7 linked regions of the Xenopus tropicalis genome follow. The protein of the gene in region 1 interacts with the protein of each later gene in a biochemical or structural test. Links are inferred from orthologs where the notes say so. Each region holds a gene or a part of one and is shown in the gene's direction. Other genes may lie near its edges.

What was found.
Region 2: the proteins of erbin (region 1) and erbb2 form a complex in vitro, tested with the Homo sapiens proteins (4 studies listed by BioGRID and IntAct, with this or other methods). The link is inferred for Xenopus tropicalis from reciprocal best matches to the Homo sapiens genes ERBIN and ERBB2.
Region 3: the proteins of erbin (region 1) and arhgef7 interact in a test that uses a peptide from one of them, tested with the Homo sapiens proteins (2 studies listed by BioGRID and IntAct). The link is inferred for Xenopus tropicalis from reciprocal best matches to the Homo sapiens genes ERBIN and ARHGEF7.
Region 4: the proteins of erbin (region 1) and pkp4 form a complex in vitro, tested with the Homo sapiens proteins (4 studies listed by BioGRID and IntAct, with this or other methods). The link is inferred for Xenopus tropicalis from reciprocal best matches to the Homo sapiens genes ERBIN and PKP4.
Region 5: the proteins of erbin (region 1) and scn4a interact in a test that uses a peptide from one of them, tested with the Homo sapiens proteins (2 studies listed by BioGRID and IntAct). The link is inferred for Xenopus tropicalis from reciprocal best matches to the Homo sapiens genes ERBIN and SCN4A.
Region 6: the proteins of erbin (region 1) and abcc4 interact in a test that uses a peptide from one of them, tested with the Homo sapiens proteins (2 studies listed by BioGRID and IntAct). The link is inferred for Xenopus tropicalis from reciprocal best matches to the Homo sapiens genes ERBIN and ABCC4.
Region 7: the proteins of erbin (region 1) and plasma membrane calcium-transporting ATPase 4 interact in a test that uses a peptide from one of them, tested with the Homo sapiens proteins (2 studies listed by BioGRID and IntAct). The link is inferred for Xenopus tropicalis from reciprocal best matches to the Homo sapiens genes ERBIN and ATP2B4.

What each region holds. Positions count from the first base shown.
Region 1 is NC_030677.2:187,603,493-187,607,720, reverse strand, and holds the start of erbin (erbin), read left to right. Parts: upstream 1-1,182; 5' UTR 1,183-1,832; intron 1,833-4,228. UniProt on the Homo sapiens protein: Acts as an adapter for the receptor ERBB2, in epithelia. By binding the unphosphorylated 'Tyr-1248' of receptor ERBB2, it may contribute to stabilize this unphosphorylated state.
Region 2 is NC_030686.2:9,878,408-9,882,840, reverse strand, and holds the start of erbb2 (receptor tyrosine-protein kinase erbB-2), read left to right. Parts: upstream 1-1,377; 5' UTR 1,378-1,533; coding exon 1,534-1,606; intron 1,607-4,433. UniProt on the Homo sapiens protein: Protein tyrosine kinase that is part of several cell surface receptor complexes, but that apparently needs a coreceptor for ligand binding. Essential component of a neuregulin-receptor complex, although neuregulins do not interact with it alone.
Region 3 is NC_030678.2:116,901,014-116,904,018, reverse strand, and holds part of arhgef7 (rho guanine nucleotide exchange factor 7), read left to right. Parts: intron 1-934; coding exon 935-1,034; intron 1,035-1,399; coding exon 1,400-1,454; intron 1,455-2,783; coding exon 2,784-2,906; 3' UTR 2,907-3,005. UniProt on the Homo sapiens protein: Acts as a RAC1 guanine nucleotide exchange factor (GEF) and can induce membrane ruffling. Functions in cell migration, attachment and cell spreading. Promotes targeting of RAC1 to focal adhesions. May function as a positive regulator of apoptosis.
Region 4 is NC_030685.2:73,687,515-73,691,791, reverse strand, and holds the start of pkp4 (plakophilin-4), read left to right. Parts: upstream 1-1,412; 5' UTR 1,413-1,593; intron 1,594-4,277. UniProt on the Homo sapiens protein: Plays a role as a regulator of Rho activity during cytokinesis. May play a role in junctional plaques.
Region 5 is NC_030686.2:15,628,051-15,631,807, reverse strand, and holds part of scn4a (sodium channel protein type 4 subunit alpha), read left to right. Parts: intron 1-1,136; coding exon 1,137-1,493; intron 1,494-3,757. UniProt on the Homo sapiens protein: Pore-forming subunit of Nav1.4, a voltage-gated sodium (Nav) channel that directly mediates the depolarizing phase of action potentials in excitable membranes.
Region 6 is NC_030678.2:122,375,987-122,380,210, forward strand, and holds the start of abcc4 (multidrug resistance-associated protein 4), read left to right. Parts: upstream 1-1,179; 5' UTR 1,180-1,412; coding exon 1,413-1,486; intron 1,487-4,224. UniProt on the Homo sapiens protein: ATP-dependent transporter of the ATP-binding cassette (ABC) family that actively extrudes physiological compounds and xenobiotics from cells.
Region 7 is NC_030678.2:70,336,180-70,340,392, reverse strand, and holds the start of plasma membrane calcium-transporting ATPase 4, read left to right. Parts: upstream 1-1,308; 5' UTR 1,309-1,655; intron 1,656-4,213. UniProt on the Homo sapiens protein: Calcium/calmodulin-regulated and magnesium-dependent enzyme that catalyzes the hydrolysis of ATP coupled with the transport of calcium out of the cell. By regulating sperm cell calcium homeostasis, may play a role in sperm motility.

The sequences.
Region 1 (4,228 bases):
CTGATCAGTTTACCACTACTTGAGTAGCTCTCCTGATTTAGTGCATTCCTTCCTAGTGGCTAAGGCTTAGGGTGGCCTGACAAATGACAATAAAATCTTTGATTTTTGGTACATGTATGGAAGCTAACATTTGGCATCCCCCAGTTATTGTAACTTTCATTCTCCTTTAAAAACCTAATCTGCTGATGCACCACGTTTTCCATTGTATGGAAGTGTCTTCACTTTCTGCTGTTCCCGTTGTTCAGCCTCGACAATGTATGAAACTGACTGTAAGCTCTTTTGGGCAGACCCTTTTTACCTCTTGTATCGGTTACCAGTTAATTATTTGTATGTAATCTGTATGTTCAGTGCATACACCCATTTATTGTACAGTCCTGCAAAATATGTTGGTGATGTATAAATATGTGTTAATATTAATAATAGTAATAATAATAACCTTGTATTGCACCTGCAAGCTGATTGGTCACATACTGTACAAGGTCCGGTTGTATATGACTGCCTAAAGGCTATGTATGTAGAGGCACTGACTGTATAATACTTATATTGCCATGACCCTTGGGTACAGAACACAAGTAAAAAGGTTAAACAAATTGTGGTGGTCACTTAAATCTGGGCACCTGTAGCCAATAGCCTTGGATACTCCATGACACTTTCAAGGTGATGAGCCCCTAACAAATCTGTTACTTAGGATAACAGTGACTGGCACACACACTCATGTAAATGCCTCTGTGGACCAGTCACTGATAGCTTGGGGCACTGGGTCAGCACCCTATTTGAATGGGCTAATAGCATCACAAATTAACCCTAAGGATTAAACACTAAGTAATGGATCCAATCTACATACACCTAGGGTCCTGTACAGTAACACTTGTCCCTGAGTCTCATTACATCTTGTCCTACAAGCTGACAATCAAATAAAAGATGGAATAAGCATTTTAAAAATAGGATTTCGTTTCCCCCCTTCAACTGTTGCAGAACTAAAATACCCACAAAGGTTCCTAGTGCGGGTTAAGGGGTTGTGATTGAAACACATCTGGGGGGGCAGCAGCTTTACTGCACCTTTTCATTAGAAATATGTTACATGATGGGGGTAAAATGAAGAGAGAGCCTAAGCAGGGGCCACATAGAGGAGAAACGAGACGCCTCAGGAAGTGAGAGTAGCAAAGAGACTGCCCTTATGAGAGGGGGGAGGAGAGACTGGAGACAGAGGGGGAGGGGAGAGTGTGTGCGGCTGCGAGCAGTACTGGGGAGGAGAGAGTGCTGCTTGGCCGGGCTGTGTGTGTGAGTGCGCTGAGGGTGCGGCTCCCATAGTGGCACAATATACCCTACACTCCGGCTCACCCTTCATGACTCGTACGGGTGTCACTAGGAGGAGCAGTGAATGCAGCGGGACCCCTGTCCCTACACGGCTCTCTCTCTTCCTACACCCCCCTCCCCTTGCCTGTTTATTCCCCTGACCCCCACTCTCTCTCTACTCCCCGAAACGTGGACCTGGAATCCCGTCCCTGGTAAAGAATTGTCCTTTGCTTCTCTCTAATTGGGATGTTTCCAGCCCCCTCCCAGGATTAAGGAACGGTGAAAGCATTGGAGGGAAACGAACTTGAGCTCATTCGGTTTGGAACTTCTACAGCCCCTTTGTGATCCTCTCTCCCGGCCTTCGGGTTTGTTGTTCTCTGGCCATCTCTCTCTCTCTCTGCGGAAAATTCTATACGTTTGTGGGATTATTACACCTTTCTGGATTCTGAGAAGAGAAAAGCTTGTTGGATTTACAATAAACTCAATGCAGGAGGAAGTGGAACATTACACTGAAATATCTAGCAAACTCTAATAAGGTAATGCTATGGCTTTTACAGGGGAGACAGGGGGGGAGAGTTGGATGAGGCTGCTTTGTGTTTTGGCCAAGGACTGGGGGGCTTCAGCAGTAAAACTCAGGGCAAGTTAGCAGGTGGTTGGTTCTGGGCAGAAACATGCTTTAGTCTGGGGCAGAAGGATGCTGCTGGTTTTAAATGGACCGAGATGTTGTCTGATCTCTAAACATCACCACAGTTGATATAAGAAGTTCTCTGCTGCACAAAATGGTCCAGCAGCATGTTGCAGCTGTCTGAGTTGTCGGGCAGACTGCTCTCCCTCTCTGTGCTGCAACCAGATGCTTCTATTGTTGCTGTTGGGGCTGTTTATAAATAAGTGCTGTTTTCCAGGGTGATTATTAGTATATTACAGATGCTATTCAAGTTCTACACGGACATGAAGCATACAAAGAGAAACTGAAATCCGAGAGCTTACAATCTAGAATGCAAATGTCTGATGTCTGGCCTTCCAGCTGTTATTTGAACTTACAGTATTCCTTGCCAGGTCAAGACGGTTGAAGAATATGTTGTCAGCTGATTGGCAAGGTAGAAATCCCTTAGGCCTTACGGTTTTCAGACTTCAGAACCCCCATTCATGTTGAACATTTGGTTGGGGCCCTCCTCCGCTTGTAACTCTGTTACAGATGGCATAGCTCCTTGAGTGTTTGCCACAAAAATCTTACCCTGTTAACCGTCATTCCGGGAATTCTAGGAGTATATAAAAAAGCATATTTCCCCTCTGTAGTCTACCTGCTAAATCACCCCCCCCCAGTTACTGCCTTGTTCAGGCCCACAGTTTCGAAGTCTTGGCTATTTTAGATCAGGGATATAATGTTTGAGCCCCTCCATCCTCGTACTACAGTAGTGTTTGACTGTCATGGTATGCATAATAGTTGGAGGGCCCCAGGTTGGACATGCATGTAAATGATATGTTTCCCATTCAGCTGTTATAAAATTGCAGCTTCTGTCTTCAACAGTGAGTTCCCAGGTTACACACATGTCTGCTATAAACTCAGTTTTACTCTGGTGGTTCTGCTCAGCAGGCCCTGTCTGCATGTAGTGTGGGGGGGGGGTCCACACTGATTGGAGTCGTTGCCTAGCAGTTCTGTAAATGCAACAATGACCAGAACTTGCTTTGCATCTTTACAAGAATTTCTAATGGAGCTCAAGCTCTTTTGCTTAAGTTGACTTTCTACCAATGCAGAAAATGACAAGACTAAGAGAAGTAGAATACAATGTTTGAGCCTGATGGTAAATCAAATAACAGATATTTTATTATTAACTTTACAGCTTTATTAATGTATTAATATTTGTGCCATCTACCTGTCTGTGACTGACCTGGCACATGGGATTTGATCCAGGTATGGGATCCTGGAAACCTGTTACCCAAAAGCTTTAAATTACGGGAAGGCCATCTCCCATAGACTCCATTTTAATCAAATAATTCTAGTTTTTGAAAATGATTTCCTTTTTCTCTGCAATAATAAACCAGTACCCTATTCAGTTTAATGTTTAAATGATTTTTTTAGCAAAATTAACATATGGCAATCCAAATTACAGAAAGACCCCTTATCTGAAAAGTCCAAGGTCCCGAGCATTCTGGATAACCGGTCCCATACCTGTAGTTGAAATGACCTGCAGCTGCTTCTTTAAAATGATTACACTAAAAAGAATACATATTTTAAATAAATAATGCAGAGTGTCCATGTCATGCTCTGTTTTCCTTACCGTTCTATTTGTAGGAAATATTAAATGACACAGTTACGTAAAGCGAAGCTTTGCGAGAATACAAGGCAACGTTTGGTGTGGTTTTACAGCTATAAAAATTGAGTGTTAGTTGGAGGCCTGCTCTTTTCTTTCCTGTGTTACTTCAATGGCCTTCGTTACATTAACCCCACTGCCCAGATCAGGGCCTTGACAAACATTTTAAATAGTTTTAAACTTTACATATTTCTTGCGTGTTTGAAAAAGTTTCCATTAACTTTATCTTCAGAAGGGGTGTGTGTGGGTGTATGAGGTGGGGGGCAGGGCAGATTGCTATGGGATTTCATTTTTTTTCTGCCTTGTTCTTACACACAGTGGAGCTCTTTGTTCATTGGAAGGCATGCAGATCTAAACTGGCTCTCCTAATCGGCCAGCCGAGTGCTCCACTGACAGCAGCACAATACAACTTTTTCAATTTGACTGCAAGGGAAAAATATGCCAATACTTTTATAATTTATTTATTTTATTTTTCTAGGTCAGATCTACTGAATCCTAGAGTTGTGCTTTCTTTTTTTTTTTTTTTGCATACCTGGGCTTCATTGTCAATACTGAAGGGTTGTGAAGTTACTAGTTCAAATGTGACCCCCATGGTTATGATTGTCTACAGTAGTAATAAT
Region 2 (4,433 bases), on another chromosome or scaffold:
TCTAATACAGACAGTGCTATTGTGACCACTGCACTAGTAATGCAACCCCCCCACCTGCACCAAAGCACGGGAAGCAAGGGGGCAGCATGGAAAAGCCCACCTCAGGGTGAGCAACATTTCCCCTGCACATAGTGCACTTTACTTGCTTTCACTTTTATGCCCCAGCCTTTTGGCCAATGGCAAGGAAATTTTTTAAAATCCGGCCAATATTGAGACATTTGTTTTGTTACTGAGCTTTTATTTTTGTGTTTTTTCTTCTATGATCTAGTGCAACCTACGATCTGGATCTATCCATTTTTTACAATCTAGCGCAATATACACTTATGGATCTGCACGCTGGCTTGAGGGGGATAATGTGTGGCCATTCGGCTCCTTTCCCTTAAAACCTGGCCCCACCATAAACATACAAGACTGAAGATTCTCTTGGGGGTCAATGGAGCTCTTATAGCAGGGCCTCAACTAGGGGTAGGCAGAACAGGCATGTGCCTAGGGTGCAATGGAAAGGGGACCCCTAATTTGTAGCTCCTGGGGATCTATTCTCCACCATGTTTGCTGCCCTAGGCTAGAGGGGGTGGCGCTGACAAGCAGGTATGAATGGGCCCAGCACTGCCTTATAGGCTTTCTGGATGGAGGGTGAGGATAAAGGGGTAACCCTAGCCCTGCTGTGAAGGGAACCTGAAGACCCTCGCCCCTGCCGGCCTTCTAGCTTGGGGGGTCAGAGATAAAGGGGTTCTCTCTAGTCCTTGGACAAAAGGCAAGAACCTGAAAATTCTGGCCGGTTGGTCAGGTTTTGGGCTCTTCCTTTTCATTGCACATTTGCACTTGTGCACCATGCACTTTTTTGCACTAGGTTATTTATAAGGGTGAAGACACACAGAGATACTAGTAGCAGCTACTTGTCGTGGCTACTAAAATAGACAATGCTGATCATTTACTGATAGTTGTCTCTATGTGTGTTTAGCAGAGGCAATTCTCAGTATTGTCTATGGCAGGGGATTTTCTGGGGTTTAGTAGCTGTGAAAAAGTAGCTGCTACTAGTAGCTCAGTGTGTCTTCACCCTAATACATACATGGGTTTCAATAAAAAAAAAGACCAAGGTATGTAGGTGAGTGTGAATAAGGAATTGTGTAGGTGGGCATCTATTGCTTATCCAGAGCTGCCAGTCACTACTTGCCAGGAATGCTAGGAGCCTACAGCCTAGGGGGTATGACTATATTCTAGGGAAGTGGGGGGGAGGGTAGATTTAGCAGCTGTGAGCCCAAGAGCTTACCATCTAGAGACGTTTGAGCCCCACAGGGGTGAGTTAAGCAGAGAGAGCAGGGAGTAGAAGTGAGTGCCACTCCTATAAGTGTCTGTGTCCAGCCCTCCGCCTCTCCCTCCCCTGTGCCCCCTCCCTGCAGGAAGTGCCTGTGTAGGAATGAAGCGGGGCAGCTACACAGGCAACTGAGAACTTCTTTCCCGGAGCAGAGAATCAGGCAGGGGGGCCGGCTGGCAGCAGGGGGGCTGGCATGGCACTGCGGGGGCACTGACACTATGGGGTTACGGCCATGGCTCTGGGGGCTCTGCGCCCTGCTGCTCCTACTGAGGGGACGCGCCGCCGAGGAAGGTAAGGAGGGTGCGGGTCGCAGCGTAAGGTTCTGCCCATGTACTTACAGCGCGTCCGGGGAAGAGTTTGGAGGGAATCGGGGGTGACCTTTATATAGTAGGGAGTTCATCGGCTGCGATTTCAGTCCAATCTGAGTCACTCCAGCTTTGGTTGCGCTACAACTGACGCAAGTATTCGGGTGCAACAGTAGGGGACGCAGGTAAAGCATTCCTGTATACGCAGCCATTGGAACCTCAGCAATATTAATGAGACTAGAATTAAATAAAGGTGCTCTATAGCCTTAATGGCCCAGTGTGAAAAATGATTAGTGCGACAGAGATGCTAATTGCCCTTGACCAACTGCATAGAAGGATTTCATTGGGGTTATCTCTAGAAGATTGGTGTTAAGGTGGCCATACACTTTAAGATCCGCTCGCTTGGCTTGGCTAGATATCGGTCAGGCATGGCCATCGTTTCTACCCCTACACGGGCCAATAAGCTGCCAAATCGGTCCAAGGGACCCATATCGGCCCGTGTATGGGTACCTTTACCGGATGGGTGGGCACATTGTGCCCCCTGTTTGCTCTGCTCTGTAGGGTAAAACAGTGACTTTTGTTTCTGCAAAGTACAGTGTTTTCCTACCTGTGATGCTTTCTGTACTATAATAAACCTATATTATATATCACTATAACCCAGTGATCTCTCGGGGCAACATGTTGCTCCCCAACCCCTTGGGTGTTGCTCTCAGTGCCCCCAAACCAGGGAGTTATTTTTGAATTCCAAAGTTGGTTGAATAAAAACAAGATTTACTACCAAATAAAGCCCCTGTAAGCTGATAGGGTGCATAGAGGCCCCTAATAGCCAATCACAGCCCTTATTTGGCACCTCCATAAACTTTTATGGTGCTTGTGTTGCCCCCCAAGTCTTTTTACATGTGACTGTGGCTCCCGAGTAAGAAAGTTTGGGGACCCCTGCTATAACCAAAAGCAACTCTGGGTAAAGAACCTGCTAGATAGCTTGGTAAGGGGTATAGTATACAGGGTACCATTCAGTTGCATCTCTGGGCAATGGCACAAGGGGTGATTGCAAGCTCTCCCCCCAAAACACACATAATTGCCTCTCCATTGACCTGGATGGTCTTCTGAAACCTGCCCCAAAATCAGACAATTATTGCTCAGAAATGCCAACTGAGCAATTCCAAGTGATAACTGTCTGACCTGCGAGTGGGGTCCAAGGGCAGTTATTATTCCGGGCAACGGAAGGGCAATTGCTGGAAATCTCAGGGGCAGCAATACATTTGCAATCACCCCATGTGCCATTCCCAAGCACAGTAATTCACCTTGATGGCGGCTGCCAACTACTGTGTCCCCCCCCCCCAACCAAACTGTGGGCTCAGAGCAAGTGTTGGAAGGGGCCCAGCCTGAAAGCCATTGAGGTAGAATACCTATTGCCCCCCCAAAGAGTGTCCCCTCTAAGCTGTGCACACAAATTTGGAAGCCAGAACACACACAATATAGTGCAAAGAATCTAAAAGCACAGTTTACTAATTTTTTGGACCCACCAAATGCTTTTGGGCACCAGAAGACATTTTTTTACTGAAGGTCGAGGATTGTGATGAACATGTTGGGAGATGCTCAGGGCAATTGTGTATGTTACGAGCCCAGAGGTGTGTGTTCTGACACTATAGTAAGAGCTCACGTGCTGATGCCTGAAGGTACCGGTGCTGATGTTGGTTTATTAGAAAGTAAGGGTTGCTGGTACCTGTATATTAGGAGAAGGGAAGGGGGTTCTGGTGTATTGGATCAGCAGGAGCTGGGTCAGGGCTCAGCATTCCCTCTAACTCCCTATTTGTGTGTGTGGGTGCACAGAAAGGGTCACACTTTTGCCCCCCTTAGTGCTCTTGCACTTCTGCCCAGGAGATACATAAATTACCCCTTAAGTTTTTCTACACCTCAATATGTTGTATAAGCTGGTCCCCGCTTTGTATATGCATGCACACTACTGCACATTGGTCTAAAAATGCTACATGGTTGCTTTGGGGTAACGGACCCTGGCAACCAAAAAACAGATTGTAAGGTTTTCCTTTTATGGTTGTTTTTTATTGCTTATATCTGATTTCAGGCACTCTACTAATTATCTTCCAGTCTAAACGTCCCCATACACAGGCCGATTGTAGCTGCCGATATGGGTCCCTTGGACCGATTCGACAGCTTATCGGATATCGGGGGAAGATCCACTCGCTTGGTGAATCTTAACGTGTATAGGGACCTTTGCTTCCTAACATTTGCCTGGTTACTAGGGTATTTAAGCCCTAGCAACTACATAGCTGTTAAAACTCCAAACCTACCAGCTGCCAGCGTAACTGCTGAGGGAGCAGCAGTTGTGATTGCATCTGGGCCTGCCCCCCCAGTAGGGCCCCCTAAATTCACCCCCCTGCCGGAGTCACCACCCGTACCCACCAAGACCTGAAGGTGAGAGCAAGCGCACAGCACATCTTCTGGCAGGGGGCCATACTGGGGGGTAGTGATGTGTGGGTCGACATTTTGTGGATGGGCCAAGGGCCGTGGGCATAAATAGAGGCTTCCAGGTGCAGAAGATTGTGGGCAGGGAGGGCAAAAGGGAAAGCTGAGTCCAAACTCACCGTCGACCCGCCAATAGTGTGCAAGTGTCAGCCCCAACCCACCAGGGGTGTTTCAGGCCGGCCCACACATCACTACTGGGGCGGGCCTTTGTCCAATAGTTACAAAATATGAAAAATATTCATAAAACACACAAAAAAGAAGACCAACTGCAAATTGTCTCAGAATACCAATGCCTGCTTCATACTACACTGCTCTTGCCAGAACAA
Region 3 (3,005 bases), on another chromosome or scaffold:
GCATGTTACACGGAGTACAGAGTGTGCAAGTCAAATTTTCTAGGCAAAAGTCCAGTGCCCATGGCTGGTGTTTACAGCACCATTTTATTTAGAATGTAATCATATAAAATTATTTCTATAATGTGATTATAGTCATTAGTACAGATGTGGGTGCAGAAAACATTGTCCTTTAAATGTTTTGGTATCCACTTTAAACCCTGACCATAATGTAAACAACTTGGACTAAAAGGAAACCTATTTAGTAGTAAAAGCAAAATTTGTTCTGTGTTTTTGTTTGATGTTTTATGTATACATCTGTGTAACATTATAACTTTTGACCTGATTTTTGACGCCATTTGTAATAATGCTTTGTTCAAATGTATTCTTTATTTTAAGATCTGGTTTAACAAATGTGCTATTTGTAATAATGCATTTTTTTAATTTATTTCTTTTTTATATAAATGCCTATGTTAGGTAAGTTCTGAATATGTAATACTTCATTGATGTTGTAATGAGCTGTGTAATTTGTGGTTCTTATCTTTGTGGCATGGAAAAACTTTTTCAGGTATGTTAAAACCAGTTAGTTCTGTATTCAAGCTGTACTAAAGGTTAAAATCCATTTAGCTTAGACCAATTTTAAGTTGACTACAAATATTTTAAAAACCCACCAAGTACTGTGTATGTATACAATATTATTTTGAAGCTCAGGAACTTTAATTGCCAAATACTAATAAAAATATGCAGATTGATAATGCAGACAGTAGGTGAGAGAGCTCTGCACTCTACAGGTGGCAGTCACTGTGAGAATTAGGGAACGAAACCAAAGGGATCAGACTCAATAAAGATTGACTGCAGAATGCTCAGGAGGTTAAGACTTAACAATGTGGTTAATAGTACAGAAAAAGTGCCAGCTTCTGTTTTATATTCATCTGTTTTACCTTTTGTTCCCTATTAGGCTGCCGCAAAGGATCAACTCCTCAAGTATTGCTCCCTGAAGAGGAGAAAATTATAGTAGAAGAAACCAGGAGCAATGGACAGACAGTTATAGAAGAAAAGTGAGTAATGAATTTAATATAGTCTTATATTGGTATTGTCTTATGTGGTAGAATGTCATCCATACTACCTGACATTTTATTGTAACTTATTCTACAGTACAGATCACAGATTGTGAAATACAAGGTTCACCATTTCATTGAATGACTTACATCTTAGAAAAGTCACATGGTTTTTAGTGACGAGGGCTTGATATAGTGCCAGCAAATTCACACTGTCCTTGTCCTGGCCAGCAATATTTTTTTGTTTTTTCTGTTGTAATATGAAATGTAATATGAAATATAATATGAAATGTACTTTTTCAGTAAGATCCCACAGTTTTTAAGAATCTTATTTTTTTGACCAATTTTTCCCTCTAACATTTTAGGAGTCTTGTTGATACAGTTTATGCATTAAAAGATGAAGTTCAGGAACTAAAACAGGTTTGTGTTTTAGTTTTCAATTTGTTGTTGTTTTTGTTCAGCCTATAATTTCATGTTTTATCAGTTTCAAAATTTTCCCATGAATTATTTAGCAAGTAAAATATTTACTGAATAACCGTGCATAACAATATCCCTTAGTAAGTAAGCAAGTGAAGGCCACTGAGCTTGTCCACCTTTGTGGCCCTGTTGCTGTGATTAAAGTCACAGATTTATGTTCAGATTTTACAAATGATGATGTAGAAAACCTAATTAAATTATACTGCACTAGTGTTGCCCGCGAAGGTTTATTAACTAGGCAATTTGGGATTACACAATTTATCTTCTGCACTGAAATGATTTGTTCCAGTGTGGAAAATACATATTCAAATCCTTTTTCCTAGCATGTTCTTTCTGGCTACAGAATTGAGTGCCTGCCATTTACTGGCTGAAGGAGTAGGAGGCAGTTGTATTATTGCCTTTCATTAAAATAAATGCACTTGTAATCATCATTTATACAAATTTAATGTAAGCTTGGTTGTTACTAGGGATGCCCCAAATCCAGGATTCGGTTTGGGATTTGGCCAAGATTTTTCCTTTTTCAGCAGGATTCAGCAGCTAGAGATGCCCTAAATAAAGAGATCCCCAACATTTTTTATTCAAAAGTGTTGGTGAGCCACACAAGCATGAAAAAGTTCCTTAAGGGTGCCAAATAAGGGCTGTAATTGGCTATTTGGTAGCCCCATGTGGACTGATGGACTGCAGAGCTTCTGCTTGGAGTAATACTGTGTCTCTTTGCTTCCAAAACTTGCCTCCAAGCCAAAGAATTAAAAATGGGCACCTACTTTGAGGCCACTGGGAGCACCATCAAAGGGGGTGTTGAGCAACATGTTGCTATACTGTAACTTAATCCTTTTTAATGTGTAGCGAAACCAAATCAAACATTCAACCCCTAGACAACCAAAGACCCCAGTTTTCTTTCACAGAATGAAAGTTTTCATTTTGCTGAAGCTTGAATGCACAGATTGGGGTTAGCATTCAGTTTGGTCTTTAGCTGAATTTAATGCTAGGATGCTTTCATTGAAATTACCTTACTTGGTTTACTTGCCCTTAAGGTTTTAACTAAAGAGAAGAAGCTTACCTGCAGGTTCAATTTTAGAGCCTACAGTACAGTTTTTTAGATTAAAACCATAAAATGCATTTTATTTCAGATTGAATCTGTTGACTTGTATCCTCTTAACAGACTAAAAATAAATGCAGAATATTGTTAAAAAAGTATAAATAAGTGTATATAATCTGTACCTTCAAAAGCATTGTCATATTTCTGATTGTGTTTGTTTCTTTCATCATTAGGATAGTAAAAAGATGAAGAAATCTCTGGAAGAAGAACAAAGAGCTCGCAAGGAGCTTGAAAAACTTATAAGAAAAGTCCTAAAGAACATGAACGATCCTTCTTGGGATGAAACCAATTTGTAATTATTCGTGTCTTCCTCTTTTCTGCCCAGGGATCAAGAGTGGAGCTCTCTGACATTTGGAGAGCCTTGTTGCATTGGGGGCACTGCAGAATGAGATTTT
Region 4 (4,277 bases), on another chromosome or scaffold:
CTTTACACCTGTGGGCACCTCCCATGGGGGGCCCAGGATGGTCTCCTCTTAGAAAATTTCCTGCTATTTTCCCGTGCAAATTTAAATACAAATTGTATGTGAATATTTTTCCTATTTATGAAAATATGAGTTTGGTTTAGTCGCCTATGATAGATCTCTGCTATAGCGGGCGCCTAAACACTCCGAAAGCTCTTTGCGTGTCTTTGGTATTACGAAGTTGCGTGAAGTTTCCTCCTTCAGGCAACTCTGCGCGACTTCGGAAAGCTGAAGCGATGCATCGGCCTTTACACCAGCGACTCCTTTTGTTGTCGGTGGAAAGGCATCTCCTGCAGTAGCCTAAGGGTAAGAACCCACAGAGCGGTTTAGTCGCTCACGATAGTTCTTCGCTATTATGGGTGACGGCGCGATTTGCGGAAATCGCTGAAGTTGCCTCGAGAGGCAACTTCGGAGATCGCACCGCCGCGTATGCCATCCCACCGGCAATTTACTTTTTCACCGGTGGGATGTCATATCGGGGAGATTAGTCACCCGCAACAAGGGAGATTAGTCACCCGCAACAAGGGAGATTAGTCACCCGCAACAAGGGAGATTAGTCACCCGCAACAAGGGAGATTAGTCACCCGCAACAAGGGAGATTAGTCACCCGCAACAAGGGAGATTAGTCACCCGCAACAAGGGAGATTAGTCACCCGCAACAAGGGAGATTTGTCGCGGGCGACTAATCTCCCCGTGTACCAGAGCCCTAAAGCAGTAAAACTTATTTGGTGGCGGAAACCATAAAAACCCTTTATCAGAGCTGTCCTGAGTTTCCAGCATTCAAAACAATTCAATTTTCACATTTTTGTTATGTCAGAATAAGTCTTCATAGGATGATAATGACTGAAAATTCTCAAAATGTTTTTAACCATTTCATTAGGGGAAATATCTATACAAATAAAAGTAAACTGTATAAAAAACACATTTTTTTCTCTTATACTAACAAAAATTAGCTGAGAATCCGAATTTTACCCAGTGAAACTGAAAGGGCCACCCCGGGCAAAGGATGCTGGAAGTTGTAGTTCCATAAGAAATAGAGAGCTGCCGGTTTAATAAATGGAGACTATTACTAGGACGGAGGGAGTTGGGGATGTGGATTAAGTGACAATGTAAAAGCACAATGTTGCCAGCATCTCACCTTCAGATCGTTCTGTGCCGATAATAATTCCAGCCCTCCTTTCCCGCATTAATGGTACATCCCGAGCAGAGTATCGTGACTGACCAAAACCTTCCACGCCCCTTTCAGTCAACAGCATCGGTAACCAAGGCAACGGCAGGCCAGCGAGCGATTGGTGAATTTGGAACCCAGGGGCAGGTCAATAGGTAAGATGGGCGGGGCCTCGGTCGGCCAATCGAAGCGAGATTGCGCTGTGACGCGGAAAGCCCCGGAGCCCGGCGCTGGCTCGGTGTGCTGGGGAGAGGGCGGCAGGGTTCGGGCACCGCGCCATGGAGACCGGGTAGGGGACAGCACGTCTGGGAGTTATACTGCGCCTTGGGAACGGGACCGTGCAGTCCCTCATGAGGCGGACGGACCCTCGGGGAGGCTTGAGCCGGCAGGTAAGTGCGTTTTGCTACGGGACCACTGGCGGTGCTCGCATGATACGTCCCGGAGTCGGGACCCCAAGCTGCTTGGTGTTGGGTGGGGGCAAGTTTAGACGCATTCCTGCTAATGGAGTAAAGAGCCGCTCTGCATCAACTTCCCACCTGGCCATGCACTCCGGCATCTCCCACCTGTGGCTCTTCCGGGCGCTGTCAGGGCATTCTGGGAGTTGTAGTTCATTAATAGGTGGATGATCCCTGATATGTTCTAGTCTACACTTCCAACATCCCATATTGCTTGATTTTCCCATCCAGCCTTTTGCATTGGCACCCAGCATCCTCCTATCTCTACATTTCTATTTTATTTTCAGCCAATGCCAAACTGCCCCTGTGGAATGGGCACCCTGCACCCCCACTACCTTACACCCTATTACTGTAATGAAAAGGATGCAGTTCCCTAGCACTCTCTTTTGTTCATGGACACCCAGCTCCCTGGCATTATCTGATGGCAGTCATGCTCTTATATGCACCACATGGGCATCTAGACTTCCCTCCCATGCCCTAGCCTTGTATGCCGAGTCATATGTTGGTGCCAAGTGAGCTTGCAATCTTTTGAAAGCCTTTGAATTACTTACTGAACATGCAACTTAATGCTTCCTGCTTTTGCCTCTGCAACTAATACTGTCTGTATTGTATGGGCTGGAGGGAATGTAGTAACTGATACCAGTCATGTTGCTATCCTTCCTGTTGCCTATGATTGCAAGCTCATGTGGTTCTTAAAGTGACAAGTCATCCGCGTACATGAGGAACAACAGTGTGTCTATTGCTTGGCATTGTATTTTGCTGTAACTGTACTGTATGTGGGTTTGTGCCTTGTGTACTTGCCTTCTCTCTTTATGAGACACATAATAGAGTTAGTGCAACAGGCAGTACACGCCGAGGGGTTCCTTCTCTATAGTGACAATTTGTGATATTTTATAGCACTTCACTTGCCCTTGGGCAAGAGACTTAAAGCATTTGGCCAGTGAGCAACCTAATAGTCTGTAATAAAACTGCAACAGAATAACAATGGCAGAATCGCAAGTGTGAACAAGCCCTGAGGTTAGACATGAGCAGACTCGGCACACATTGCAACTTTACTTTTGACCTTTGGTGGATTTGTGGGTTGGTTTCTAATATTCTGATATATTGTTTCCATCTTGGTCAGCCAAGGAGCCCCAATGTTTGGGACCTCACTTGTTGATCTAACACTTCCAGCATTCCCTGTGTATTGGAGGGCTGTCGGTTTCCCATCCTTTATTTGATTATTATACTTCTGGCTTTAAATGAAGACTGTACCATAGAGCTTGTACTACATTAAGAGGGGATTTATGCAGACTCTTTCAGAGTAATGAAAGGTTCTGTGTCTCTGTAGGATATGGGTCTCTTTGGATCACTATAGAAATAATTGTATTTTAGCTGTTGCTGTATAATATTATGTGGGGGATCTAAGTGCCGTACTAAATGCGGTTTGACTTACACGGGCAACTGCAGGGATGCTCATGCTGCTGGTTCTGCATACAGAGCTTCGAGTGTCGGCGTAGCCATCCTTGCAGTGCCGAGAGGGATAGACCTGGTGCTGTTCCCAGCAGATGACTAGGCAGGTGGGTACGTTGGATTAGGAATGCCAGGAATGCATAGGGAAATCCAGCTGCTGCAACTGTGGTCAGTGTGCACTGCCTTTAACCCCTGTTTATTGCAGCTCTATTTACCATATCATTGCTATCACAGGAAAGCAATCTGGCCCCAAAGTGGGGGAGCAGGTCACACTGATATTGTATGCAAAAAGGCAGGGTTTCCTCCTAGCAGCCTTCATGCACATTGTTGTTCAGCTTTTTCCACTATCCATCCATCTGCTGAAGGTGACCTTCTCTTCTCGCAGGTAAAGGGTTAACTAGCTCAGAGGGTGCAGTTTCCCACTGCCTCTCCTCAAGTATCACATCAGCGGCTGATTCATTCTTGTACACAGAGACGGCTTGGCAACAAATTCAGTGCTGGCCTGGGCAGCACTCATGCACATTCAGCTTGCTCGGTTATTCTCATGTTCAGGCACCTGGGAGTGCATCCTACCACATTGTATCGTTTTTATACCTATTATTGCCATATGTTACTTTAAAATAGCCAGTGTTGGCAAACTCTGCGCCTTGAGTTGTACAACAGAATATGTCTCATGGTAATGTTTTTGAAAATAAAGGGGAAGTTAACCTTTTGGTGTAACGTTATCCAAGCAGTTAGTCATTTTTCCCCCTTTTTAAAGATTTGCATTTCCTTTAACTGTGTAGACAGATTATTGGCCTTGTATTCTAACATGGGTCACTTGGCAGATTACAATTTAAAGGGATAATATATATATCCAAGCAAAATAAATAGAGCTTAAGATGAAACTAAAATTCTGCCATTTTTTTAAATTTAATAAAAATGCATGTTTCTTTGTTAATATAAATCTGCAAAGAGGCATTTATTATACTTTGACACTTTGCTCCATATGTAATAAAAGGCACTAAGGTTGCCGTGGTGCAGTAATCCATAGCAACCAATAAGATGTCTGTAAACAGGTATCCTGTAAATTCTTTCTGCTGACTTGTTGCATTAGGTTACTAGACCTGGGCAAACGTAGTGTCTTTTTATTACATAACCCAATTATATATATAGATATAATTATC
Region 5 (3,757 bases), on another chromosome or scaffold:
TTATGCAATTTCAGCATTTGTTTTTACAAGGGGTTTATATATGGTTTGCTAAGGAAGCATACACAGAAATACCCAAGTGGTATATGAAGCCGGTAATCAGTAAGTGTTGTTACCCATCTCTAAAACCTTCTACAACATTGAATTTCCATAGTTCTGTGTTCCCATTATAGAATACCCTAGGAGTTCTCCTCTATCTTCTCATCCAATGATCTGTTTCTATTCACATATATCATGACTGGGACAATGCAGTCTTCTTCTTATACACAAAATGTTAGCTTAATCCAGCTGGACCACCAGCTCTGGCTGATATAAGAAATAACTTCATGGGAGCTTATTCAACAAATAGTACTACTAGTTTAGTAATAGACTGTTCTTTCTATTCTCTCTGACTAATATGAAGTATTTAATGTTTCAAGCCCAGGGTGTTCAACCTAGCCAAATCATGGCCAACCCTTAACATGCTCATCAAAATCATCGGTAACTTGGTCAGAGCAAATGAAAACCTCACCCTGGTGTTGGCCATCATTGTCTTCATCATAAGCATCAGCTAAAATCTCCCCTAATGTAGACTTCAGGTTGGGCCTATCCCATCAACTGCTTTGGGTCCCACCATGGGGAATGTATATAAGCTTAAAATATATATATATATATATATATATATATATATATTAGACTATAGCATTGCTGTCCCATTGGAATTCTGTGGGTCAGTTGTAACTGCATGGAAGATTATTCACAAAACACTACTACAGGTATAGGACCCATTATCCAGAATGCTCGGGACCAAGGGTATTCCGGATAAGGGGTCTTTCCGTAATTTGGATCTCCATACCTTAAGTCTGCTAAAAAATCAATAAAACATTAATCAACCCCAATAGGATTGTTTTGCATCCAATAAGGATTATTTATATCTTAGTTGGGATCAATTACAAGGTACTGTTTTATTATTACAGAGAAAAAGAAAGTCAGTTTTAAAATTCTGAATTATGTGATTAAAATGGAGTCTATGGGAGACGGGCTTTCCGTAATTCGGAGCTTTCTGGATAACGGGTTTCCGGATAAGGGGTCCGATACCTGTACTAGTTACTGTTCTTTCTATTCTCTCTGACTAATATCAAGTATTTTAATGTTTCAAGCTCAGGGTGTTCAAGCTAGCCAAATCATGGCCAACCCTTAACATGCTTATCAAAATCATCGGTAACTCGGTCGGAGCACTTGGAAACCTCACCTTGGTGTTGGCCATCATTGTCTTCATCTTTGCGGTGGTGGGGATGCAGCTATTTGGGAAGAGCTACAAGGAATGTGTGTGCAAGATTGCCTCTGACTGCGAGCTACCACGGTGGCACATGCACGATTTCTTCCACTCTTTTCTCATTGTCTTCCGTATCCTGTGCGGGGAGTGGATAGAGACAATGTGGGACTGCATGGAAGTGGCAGGGCAAGCAATGTGCCTGGTCGTGTTCATGATGGTCATGGTGATTGGTAACCTGGTGGTAAGTTGGATTTTCAAATCTCCACATCACCCCTTACTCAAACCAGAAATGGGACAATATCTGGCCCCAGGCCTGTCTGACTGTAGAGGTCTCTAATGTGTTGACCATGGTCATTTAGAATGACTAAAGCTGGCCATACACGTACCGATAAAATCATGCAAAATTTAGTTTTGTTCAATTTTCAGACTGTGTGTGGGCTCAGAATTATTATTTTTGCACTATGGCGATCAGTCGTTTAGTCGATCGACAAGGTTAGAAAATCTGCGCATATGTTGTGTATCTGATGATATCCTTGGGGGACCTACAATGGAAGTCAATTTCGTACGATTGGTGCCAACTATTTCATATTGAGAACATCCTTTCGATTTGTTATTTTTATCCTACAATTTCAGTCTGAAAGGTAGTTTTAGATCTTTGCATTTAAGCATACGACCGATATCCGAACGTTTGTTGGAAAAAGACTAAAATCTGAACGTGAATGGCCAGCTTTGACACTTTTAGGATGGAATGCATTAGTCATTGAGCTACCTGTCTCTAAATAATTAATATAAAAGCAAATAAGTATTCACCCTAGTAGATAATGAATCCAGTTGCACACAAACTCGCACCCTGTATGCTGAGCATGTGTAGTTAAGGTAGGGATTCTACAAGGTGCAACAGTTGTGGCAGTCACTAAATATTGCTTTCTCCTATATTTCATTAAAGGAAATGATTGTGCTCATAGCCTACTAAATTAAGCACTTTTGACATTCCCAGTTAGCAACTTCTGTGACAATAATGACATTATCATGCTCAAGGACAGTTGGCGTGCTTTTGGCAAGCATTAGTCAGCTGAATGTTAACAGCCCACAGATTATGTCAAGTGCAAGCGGACACATGTATCTCAAAAGTTTATTTTGTAAGTATGGCAAAGGGTCTTTGTGTTACAGAAGTATGTGGCGAAATTAGAAGCAGTGTTTATTTCTTTACATCCGACAACCAAAAAGAGGGTTGGCCAAATTTACCTCCACACTGGTAGCCAAATTTCCAACATAAATTTCCAATTAGAAGCAGTGTTTATTTCTCTACATCTGACAACCAAAACAAAGGTTGGCCAAGTTTACCTACACACTGATAGCCAAATTTCCAACACAAACCATGATCTGATCATTGGGTAGATGCCCCAGAGATCAGTACAGCTCAGGCATTCACTTGTTAGTCCAATATCTGGCTTATCATACTTTGCTGGAGGATCTACCATTTTGTTTCACTCTTCGATAATTCTTCTTAGACTATATAATGATCTTCATATTGCACACCTGCTCTTTACTTTAAAAAAAGGCTTTTTAATGCTGCATACATATATTGCATAGAGATACATCATGCCTTCCACTCTCCCATTATCCACTTTTTCCCTTTCCAAAACTCTCCAGTCAATCTTGTTGCTCCCCAACCCCTTGGATGTTGCTCCCAGAGGCCTCAAAGCAGATGCTCATTCTTGAATTTCTGGCTTGGAGGCAAGTTATGGTTGCATAAAAGCCAAGTATAATGCCAAACAGAGCCTTCTGTAGGCTGCCAGTCCACATAGGGGCTATTAAGTAGCCAATTATAGCTCTTATTGGCACCCCCAGGAAACTTTCTTATGCTTGTGTTGCTCCCCAACACTTTTTCAGTTTGAATGTGGCTCTTTAGGGTATGGCCTAGCAAGACGTTGAGTTGCCATTATTGGAAGCATGGCCTACATGGAAACACTGACTAGAGACATGGAACAGCCAAGCCAAAAAAGCTGTAGCTTGTATGAATCTGATCTCTACAAACTCACAGTAATTTCATGCAATATAAAGTCTTAAGAGGCTGCTATTTATAAAGTATTGCCAAAGATAATTGGACCAAATGTTCAAGCTTTAATCACACACTGTGCCTCTTCTGCCCCCGTTTTTATAAACCAGAACTACAGGAAGAATGGGGCTTATTTGTTGTTGTTTTCAAACGTGTTCCATGCCAATAACACAGCTCCAAAGCACATGCTGTTTGTCACGTACAAATATAGGCCCAATGCTATTTCCTCCAGAATTCCTTTAAGGCTAAAACAGGACATTAAGAGGAAGCAACTCAAGTAGCTTAGTAATCCTGTCAGAAAATAGAAATCCAAAAGCGAGTGTCTGGGTACCTAACTGCAGTATTAAACAAATGGGAGACAAGATGTCAGTGTAAAGGTTCTATTTACATGCTCTGAGCGGTACCACTAAGAGCTGGTTATTGTTTTCAGATGTGCTGTTGGCACT
Region 6 (4,224 bases), on another chromosome or scaffold:
TGCCCTAGGCAACCCGGTCAGCCAACTCCGCCCACCTCCCCGCCCCCCCAATGGCGCATGCGCGCCAAAGCACAGGAGGAGGTGCAGGGGGCAGTGCGATGATCAGTCATTGCCTCCACCGCTAAGCATTAGCGGTGGAGGCAATGACAAAGTAGAACTAGGGGTAGGCAGGAGAGGCTGCCTGGCACCCCTCAATCGTTGCGCCCTAGGCAGCTGCCTCTTCTGACTACCCCTAGTTCCGGCCCTGCTTATAATGGTTCCGTTTACTCTGGTCAGATGTCCCACGAGAGATTCAAGCCAGGCCTGTATTTATATATAAACAGCATTTGGGGAGGTGCCCCTTTACAGTAATCTTTGCAGCTCTCTATACCAACATATATTTATTAGTATACTAAAGGGAGGGTAGTATTAGGCTAATTCGATCAGACAAATGATCAAATTCCAATGGCGGGCATAGGTGCCTTTGGAGCGCATCAAGAAGCCGATGTGATCCCCGATTCGACAGGAAAATCAAACCCACTCAATCGAGATCTGCCCAATTCTAGACCAGATATCTGTTAGGGAGGCCTGTTGGGAGTGCCCATTTACAGGCAGATAAGCTGCCAAAATGGTATGAAGGACTTAAATCAGCAGATGAAATCGGCCCATGTATGGCCACCTTTAGGGCAGTGACACACAGGGAGATTAGTTGCACCACTATGAATCTTCCTTACCACAGGCGACTAATCTCCCCCCAATGCCATTCCACTGGCAAGAATGTTTCCTTGAGAGGAAACTTGGGGAAATTGTAGCAACACGTGTGCCACCCTACTGGCAATTCACATTCTTGCCGGTGGTACGGCATTATATGCCCGCAGAAACAATGTTGCGGTGCGACTAATCTCCCAGCCTGCCACTGCCCAATAGAGTTTAGAAGCCCACACAAATGTCTTCTAGTCCGAAATGCCTGGCACCCTTTTAATGGCACACAGGTTACTCTGATTTCCACTCATTCATTACAAAAGTGCTGCCTAACCACGTATGAATACAACCTACCCATTTTTCTGTTGCTCCCAGTTGTAAGCTGGAGAGTCACCTTCTACAATCAGCAACTGTGCAAACTTGCGCCCAGGCCCACATGACTACCAACCTTAATCTAAACAAAGGCCGCCCCGCCTCCGACTTAATCGCCTCTGACGCGAAGCAGCTCGACTGCATGTGGGGTAATAAAGAGCCAGCAGCCAATCAGATGTCCAGCATACGATGATAGGCGGAGCTACGCGGTAAAGCCGTGCGCTGCTGCTGTTGCTGAGTGCTGGGGCAGTGGAAGTGTGCGGTGGGACATACCGTGCGGGGGGCTGTCATCGAGTGTGTGGTTTCGGTTGTGTGCCCGGCTCCCCCCATGTGTAGCTGAATACTCTGAAGCAAAGAGAATGCAGCCGGTGCCAAAGGGAAGTAAAGCGAACCCCTCGCAGCATGCCAACTTTTGCTCCAAGATCTTCTTCTGGTAAGCGCTGCTTTCCTGTTGCTAATGCCACACACACAGGGATCTTTATGTCGCTCTGTCTGTCATGTGGCTAGTTACTTGAACTATATATAATATTAGATAAGCAGTCAGGACCTGCATGCTCGGTGCACTTTGTTTCGTGCCCTTCGTGAACTACTTCAGTAACCTTTGCACATTCTCTCACCTTTTAATTGCCTTTATGTCTGCCTTTGGCTCCGTGCCATGTGGTACTTACTGATGTGCGTCTGCTGCTCCCCCCCCACCCCACCATCTTTCACCCGGATACATAGAATAGTAGTAGAGCCAATGTCATGTACCTTAATAGGAATGTAATGCAGGGTCTCTAGTAATGGGCACTGAGACTTGAGGGGCACAGAGCAGCGCTATTCAACATGAATAGTTGTGCAGTTTGGGCTATAGCTCCAAGAACACTGCAGATTTATTCATTTGTTTCAAATGTAACTGTATATTAAGGCAAGATGTTTTTTAAAATTGGCCTCATTGGCCCAGTATTCATTATGAGTTAGGGAAGTCTGGGGTGTGGGGGGGTAATTGATTGTGTGCTCTTGATCCCCCCTGGAATACCGTGTATGACAACCACAGCTCTACATGTCCCTTGGCAGGTCCCCTAATGCTGTTCATCTGGAGGGCTTGCTCTGTGATGTTTGGGCAGCCCTGCATTGCCCCAAGTACCACCAGTAATAACACTGTCCTCTTACTCATTTGTATACATAGTCCAAGTTCTATAGGTCTACGAACTATTGCCAGTGTCATATACATGTTGTGGGCTTTAGTGTGAATTAAAACATAGACATTTACAAATCATTATGGACCATGTGTTATGGGAACCTCCGGAACTGCAGGAAAAGTATGTCAAAGAAATAAGTGCCTGGCAGGGGTCTGATAAAGATATATATATATATGAAGGTGCAGAAAATAAAATTATTTATTCACTTCAGAATACTGCGCCATTCAACTTGCTTGCATTAACTCCCAAAGAATAGTCAGGGACCCTTTCCCTCTGGTGACTTTTGTGGTCATAGTGTTCTTCCTTTCCAGGAAGTTGTGGTACCTTTGTGGTACATATATAGCCCCCCCCCCTGCGTCGTTTCTGCTGTTGTAAACAGCAACAAATAACAAGAAGCTCCTCTGGCTACAGGGTGTTTAATAAGTATGCACAAACTGCCTGTAAGGAACCTCAGCATCCCTGAAACTCAGTGTGGGCCACTTGCTAGGTTAATCAGATAATAGAGCCTTTCCAGCAGAATTTTATTTTGAAATATCACATGGGTCTAGCGGCTAGCCATATCCTTCTTTTCTCAGGGTACCACAGCCATGTGACCTGTGCTCTGATATACTTTAGTCACTCTTTATTGCTGCGCTGCAAGTTGGAGTTACATCACCCCCCTCCCTTTCTCCCCCAGCAGCCGATCAACAGAACAATGGGAAGGGAGCAAGATAGCAGCTCCCTGATACCTGTATTGCTAAAAGTGGTAGAATAGCACTCAATAGTAAAAAATCAAAGTCCGGCTTGGGACTCCTCCAGTTACACTGAACATGAGAAACAATGGGTTACCTGAAAGAAGTTTTAATGTGTAGCGCTGGCTCGTTCTGAAAGCTCACAATCAGCCTCATGAGATGGCGCCTACACACCAATATTACATCTACAAAAAAAATACATTTGTTGGTTCAAGAATAAAATTTTAAATGGTAGAGTGAATTTTTTGTAATGTAAACAGTGTAATTTAGAAATAAAAAGTATACCTAAAATCATGACAGAATCCCTTTAACAGAATATTTACTACATTAGAGGTCATTATTACCGGTTGATTGTTTTTTTTTTTTTAACACTTATGCAAACCACACAAAAGGTAACTGTAACTAAGAGTCTGTTTAGTACCATTGTAATATAATTCTGTGTATATTTCAGTTACAGTTTGCAATCTTTGCACCAATTTCTGCTATTTAATTTGACTTCCCAAAATAATATAAGTTATATACAAAATTATTAGTCAGAGGTAATACATGCCTTGGTTAGATTTTTCAGTGATCCTAAGAAGGTGCAAAGTTTTGAGTAAAGTTGGCAAGCAGCCGTGTGATGCATTGACATACAGTAACAGAACAAAGGTTGGCACGAGACTCTAATTTCTCTTACGATTTTTCCCGTATCTGCCCTTGGATTTCACTTCAGGATTTAAAAGCTTTTCAGTAGATAATTTATTCAATATTTCATAGTTGTGTGTGCACTTACAGTGTATATACACTGTAAAATGGTATAAATATATAATGCAAATAAACTGTACATGTGGAGTGTTTTGACTACAGCTGTGCTCAGAAGAAAACAGTAATATAATTTTCAATACTGTTATTAATATTAGCATAATAGTACAGTTGTAAATTAAAAGTTCACTTGCCCTTTATTGATCATCTTTTCTCTTCTCCATTTCTGTCTCCATATGGAAATACATAACTTAACATATCTATATAATTGTCCTGTCCTTGGATTCATATTACATGTGCTATGAAGCCCTTGATTTTGGTTGATGCAGTAGTGAAAAGAAAATGGCTTTCTTTAATGCTTTAGTACATAACGTTTAGAGAAGAATCTAACAAATCTCTGAGATTAGCAATAGTTTGGCCAAGATCCAGTACTCTAAGACCCGAGCATTAGCTTGTTTATATCACTGTTAAGTCCTGAAAGAATAAATTAGATTTGGATAAACAGTAATTTTCACCAC
Region 7 (4,213 bases), on another chromosome or scaffold:
AGGGAGCATCTAGGGCTGATTACTCACGTATGAATAAGCTTTCTGCCGAATAAATATAGCGTTCTAGGTGGCACTAATGTGGCTAATCTATTGGCAGTAAATGCCAAAATACATTTCCTTTTAACAAGGAGGGGGGGGGGAGGTGGTGAGAGAGAGCCTTAAAGGCATTGAGGAATAATCCTAAAACAATTATAAGTGCAAATTATTATCATGCCCAGTACCAACAATGATCTAGAGCCTAATGATTTGTTGCATGATAAAGAAACGTACAAGTAGTTCAGAGCTGACCCCAAAAGAAATATTTGAGGAAACTAAATGCGCTACTGGATATTGGTATTACACACAAGAGTATTAAGACAAAGTGAATTGAAGTTTTTTTTTTTTTTATAATCGACCATCTGAGGGTTCCCACATTTTACCACCTCCAGAAGGACTGATTAATCCATCGGGCAAGACTATCATTTCAGCGGTAAGTTTTCTGACCATAAACTGCCTATATAGGTATAATATTTTGGTGTTTATGGTGAGATTATTGAATTTATATATTAAGGATACATGTGGAGGCAGATTTACTAAAATTCGAAGTTTTCTAATTTTTTTCTTAGAGGGAGCTTCTAGGGCTGTTTACTCAGGTATGGTAAAGCTTTCTGCAGAATAAATATAGCGTTCTAGGTGGCCCTAATGTGGCTAATCTATTGGCAATAATGAAAGTAAAATATGATTTTTGCCAATTGATTTTTTTTTTTTTTTAAATCTGTTTGCAATGTGTAATTGTCCAAGACAGGGATGAAAAATATCTAGTATTCCTAAGGTTTTTTTTGCATACTGTGTATGCAACCACCCCTGCAAAATGGTTGGATCCCAATGAACCTGTTGCACCAAATGTTAATCCAATCACTGACCCCCTGACTGCTAATTGTTAGCAGCCTGAGCTGCTGCGTTTGAACATACATTTCCAGACACAGGCTGAGCATATTCTATTTTTGACTGCAAATAGCTGCTGCATAAACACCAGTATGTATCTAACGCATTTAAAAATGTGCCCGCTTTCACCGGCCTGAATAGCTGAACAATTCATGTTGCATTTTCTACTCCAAGTTCCAACATGATGTACACGTCACGTGACTATTCCCCGCCCTTTGGACACACTTCTATTCACGCCCTTAGCGGCTAAATTTCATAGTATACAAGTGTTCACGTCACGCGAAAAAACGGCCAATATGCAAAAATAAACAGAGTACTAATTACAAAACATGGTGACTAGTACACAACTCTTACGATTACACCGACAACTAACGTGCTATCGTCACAAACACAGTTCCTCAGTTAAGCAAAGCCAGCATGTAACCCTGGCTGACTGTGTAGTTCCACCTTAAATCAAGAATAGGGCGGACTCATCAGTAAAGGAAAAATGCTTCCTTAAACCGAAGCTGTCCCTAAACCGCCAGTTATCCCTCCCTTACTCCGCCCACGGGTTGGGTTGTGTCTGGATTAGTTTGAGGTGAAGCCGTAGCTGTTGTTACCCGTTGGGTGAGTAGCCGGTTCTGTGCCTCTCAAAAAGCCCAAACGAGCTGTTGGCACTCAGCCACGCAACAGGCACCCTGGTATCAAAACCGCTTCATAGGGTGCGCCCACACCGCTCCGGGGCTGTTACGGTGAGTAATAACAGGGTGTGCATATATGTGACTTCACGGACGCGCGCACATAGGAACACGCAGTATACTCGGGTCTCCTATTTATACTTGCCTGTTGCCCATACGCGTTACCGTGTATTATACGTGAATGTACGTAGACATGGGGGAGAATATGCATTTAGACGAGAGTAGCTCCAAAAAGGAGTTAACTGTCTGCCATGTTAATGTATAGTACGTGTGTGCGTTTTACTCCGCCAGATACAAGACACGGAATCAACATGTCTGGATGCTGAGTTTTTCCTAGGGCATACACCCTCCCTATAAAATGTAGATGCTTTCGTATTCGTCTGCTGAGTGTAACTCACTATGCTGGGAGCTCCCGTTGCTGTAGCGTTTGCTAGTGTTGTTTTACGCACCACCATATGTGTAGTTTTGCAGTGCCGCCTGTAATAATTGGCAAAGGTATTAAGATAATCATTTGTTTTGCAAGGGTAATTTACGAGGGAAATGTGCCTCTATTTTGGATATCTCTCTGATTGTAGTGTGCTAAGTGCGACAGAAAAGATTAAGTGAATGAATGGATGAAAGATTTGGGATGGTTGAATATTAAAGGTTCAGTGTATAGGTGTTTGTTTTGTGAGGGTATGGAAGAAAAAACAGCTATTTTGTACAATGTGACTTTGTGCTTGCATGAAATGTGATATTTAACTTTATTCTTAAATATACTGTTTGCTGACAGTGCACAATGCTACATTTAACTGTTAATTGGTCTTTTAATAGATTGAAAATGTACTAATTATTATAAATGTCCTGCCTTTTTCTGATGTTTTTTTTGGAGGGTTTAAGTGGTATTAAACTGTTTACTTTAACCTTTTATGGTTTTGCAGTCATGCTTAGAGCTTACATTTCAGATACCTTGTGTTGATGGTAATGTATATAGCAGCAACAAATACAGAAATTAAAAAATCAGGTAGTATCCATTTGTGTTATTGTAGGTTTGTCTCTATAGTTTTTTTTTACCTTTATGGCTACATATTTGAGATCTTAATTTTCTGTATTCATTTTAGTTGTTGCTTGGTTGCATGGTGACAAATGCTGTTTAGACCCAGTGTTGTATCGCAATGGATATTCACAAAACAAAACAATCACAGAATACACCCAGTTATAATGTAGAGGATGTACTATTTATATTGTATGCTCATGCAATCTGTTAACTGTGATGTTAACTTAGAAGTCTGCAACTTTTCTGCATCTTGGCAAATGCACAGAAACTGTTGCTCAGTATTCACCTCCTTTAGTGAAAGCCTGGAATAACTGTTTTCTGTGCAATTAAAATAAGAATAGTTTTGGATCACATCTTGCATTTTTTTTCATCAAATAGCAATGCAGTTCTACCTGTTATTCATTTGTTTCTGATTTCCTTGGAACCAAATGATGGGAGAACTGGTCTTTCTATAACAGGGGTCTCAAACTCGCGGCCCGCGGGCCATTTGCGGCCCTCGGTACAATATTTTGTGGCCCGCACCAACGCCTTCTCAAAAGCAATGAATGGATCGCGATTTGTATTGCGATTCAAGGGATAATGCAAGGCACGGCGGGCGGGAGCTGCTGATTGCGGAAATGACGTTATGCCATCATAACAGTTATTATGGGAAGACGTTCTGTGTGCACAATTAGCTGCTAAGGAGCTAATTGTGCACACAGAACGTCTTCCCATAATAACTGTTATGATGGCATAACGTCATTTCCGCAATCAGCAGCTCCCGCCCGCCGTGCCTTGCATTATCCCTTGAAAGTCAATTTTTTGTGAAATCCCTTATGCGGCCCAGCCTCATCCTGACTTTGCCTCCTGCGGCCCCCAGGTAAATTGAGTTTGAGCCCCCTGTTCTATAAGTTGGGTTCACTTTATTAATTTAATAATAAATTGTTAAATTTGCAGATCATTTTATATGTATTAAATTAAACTGTTTATATGATATTTTGAAATTATGTTTATTTAGCTGCCACAATGCCTCCTGCAGTTCAGGTGTCATGCCTAGGTAACCACAGAAAAGCAGCATAAATGTGCAAAAATGGTTATTGCACTGTAGGATTATGTTTTTTATACTGCTAGAAGTAGTGGCATGTTTTGTAGTATAGAGGCAGAATGGATCTAAGATTCTTACTGATCTTTAATTAAATCACAGATTCAGTAATAGGCTTTAAAGTAGTAGGTGGGCGAGGTCATTAATTACAGGCAGTTAGTGGGCAGGAAAACCCAGAATGCTTTTGAATGAATGTCTCAAAATAGATAGATCATTTATTTGAAAATCCAGTTTGCTAAATTATGCAGATATCATCTGGGCGGCAACCATAGCTGCAAAAGAGAACACAGATTCAGCCCACTATGCCCCATGTGATTTAGGCATTGATAGGAACAAACACTGCACAGGAGCTGGTCTAATTTGACTAATATTGAGAACGTATGAAAATATAATTTTCCTCTTTACAGATCCACAATAAGGCCTCACCTAGAGTATGCAATGCAGTTTTGGGCCTGGTCTTTAAAGGGAAAGTACACATCCCTCTTGAACATGAGC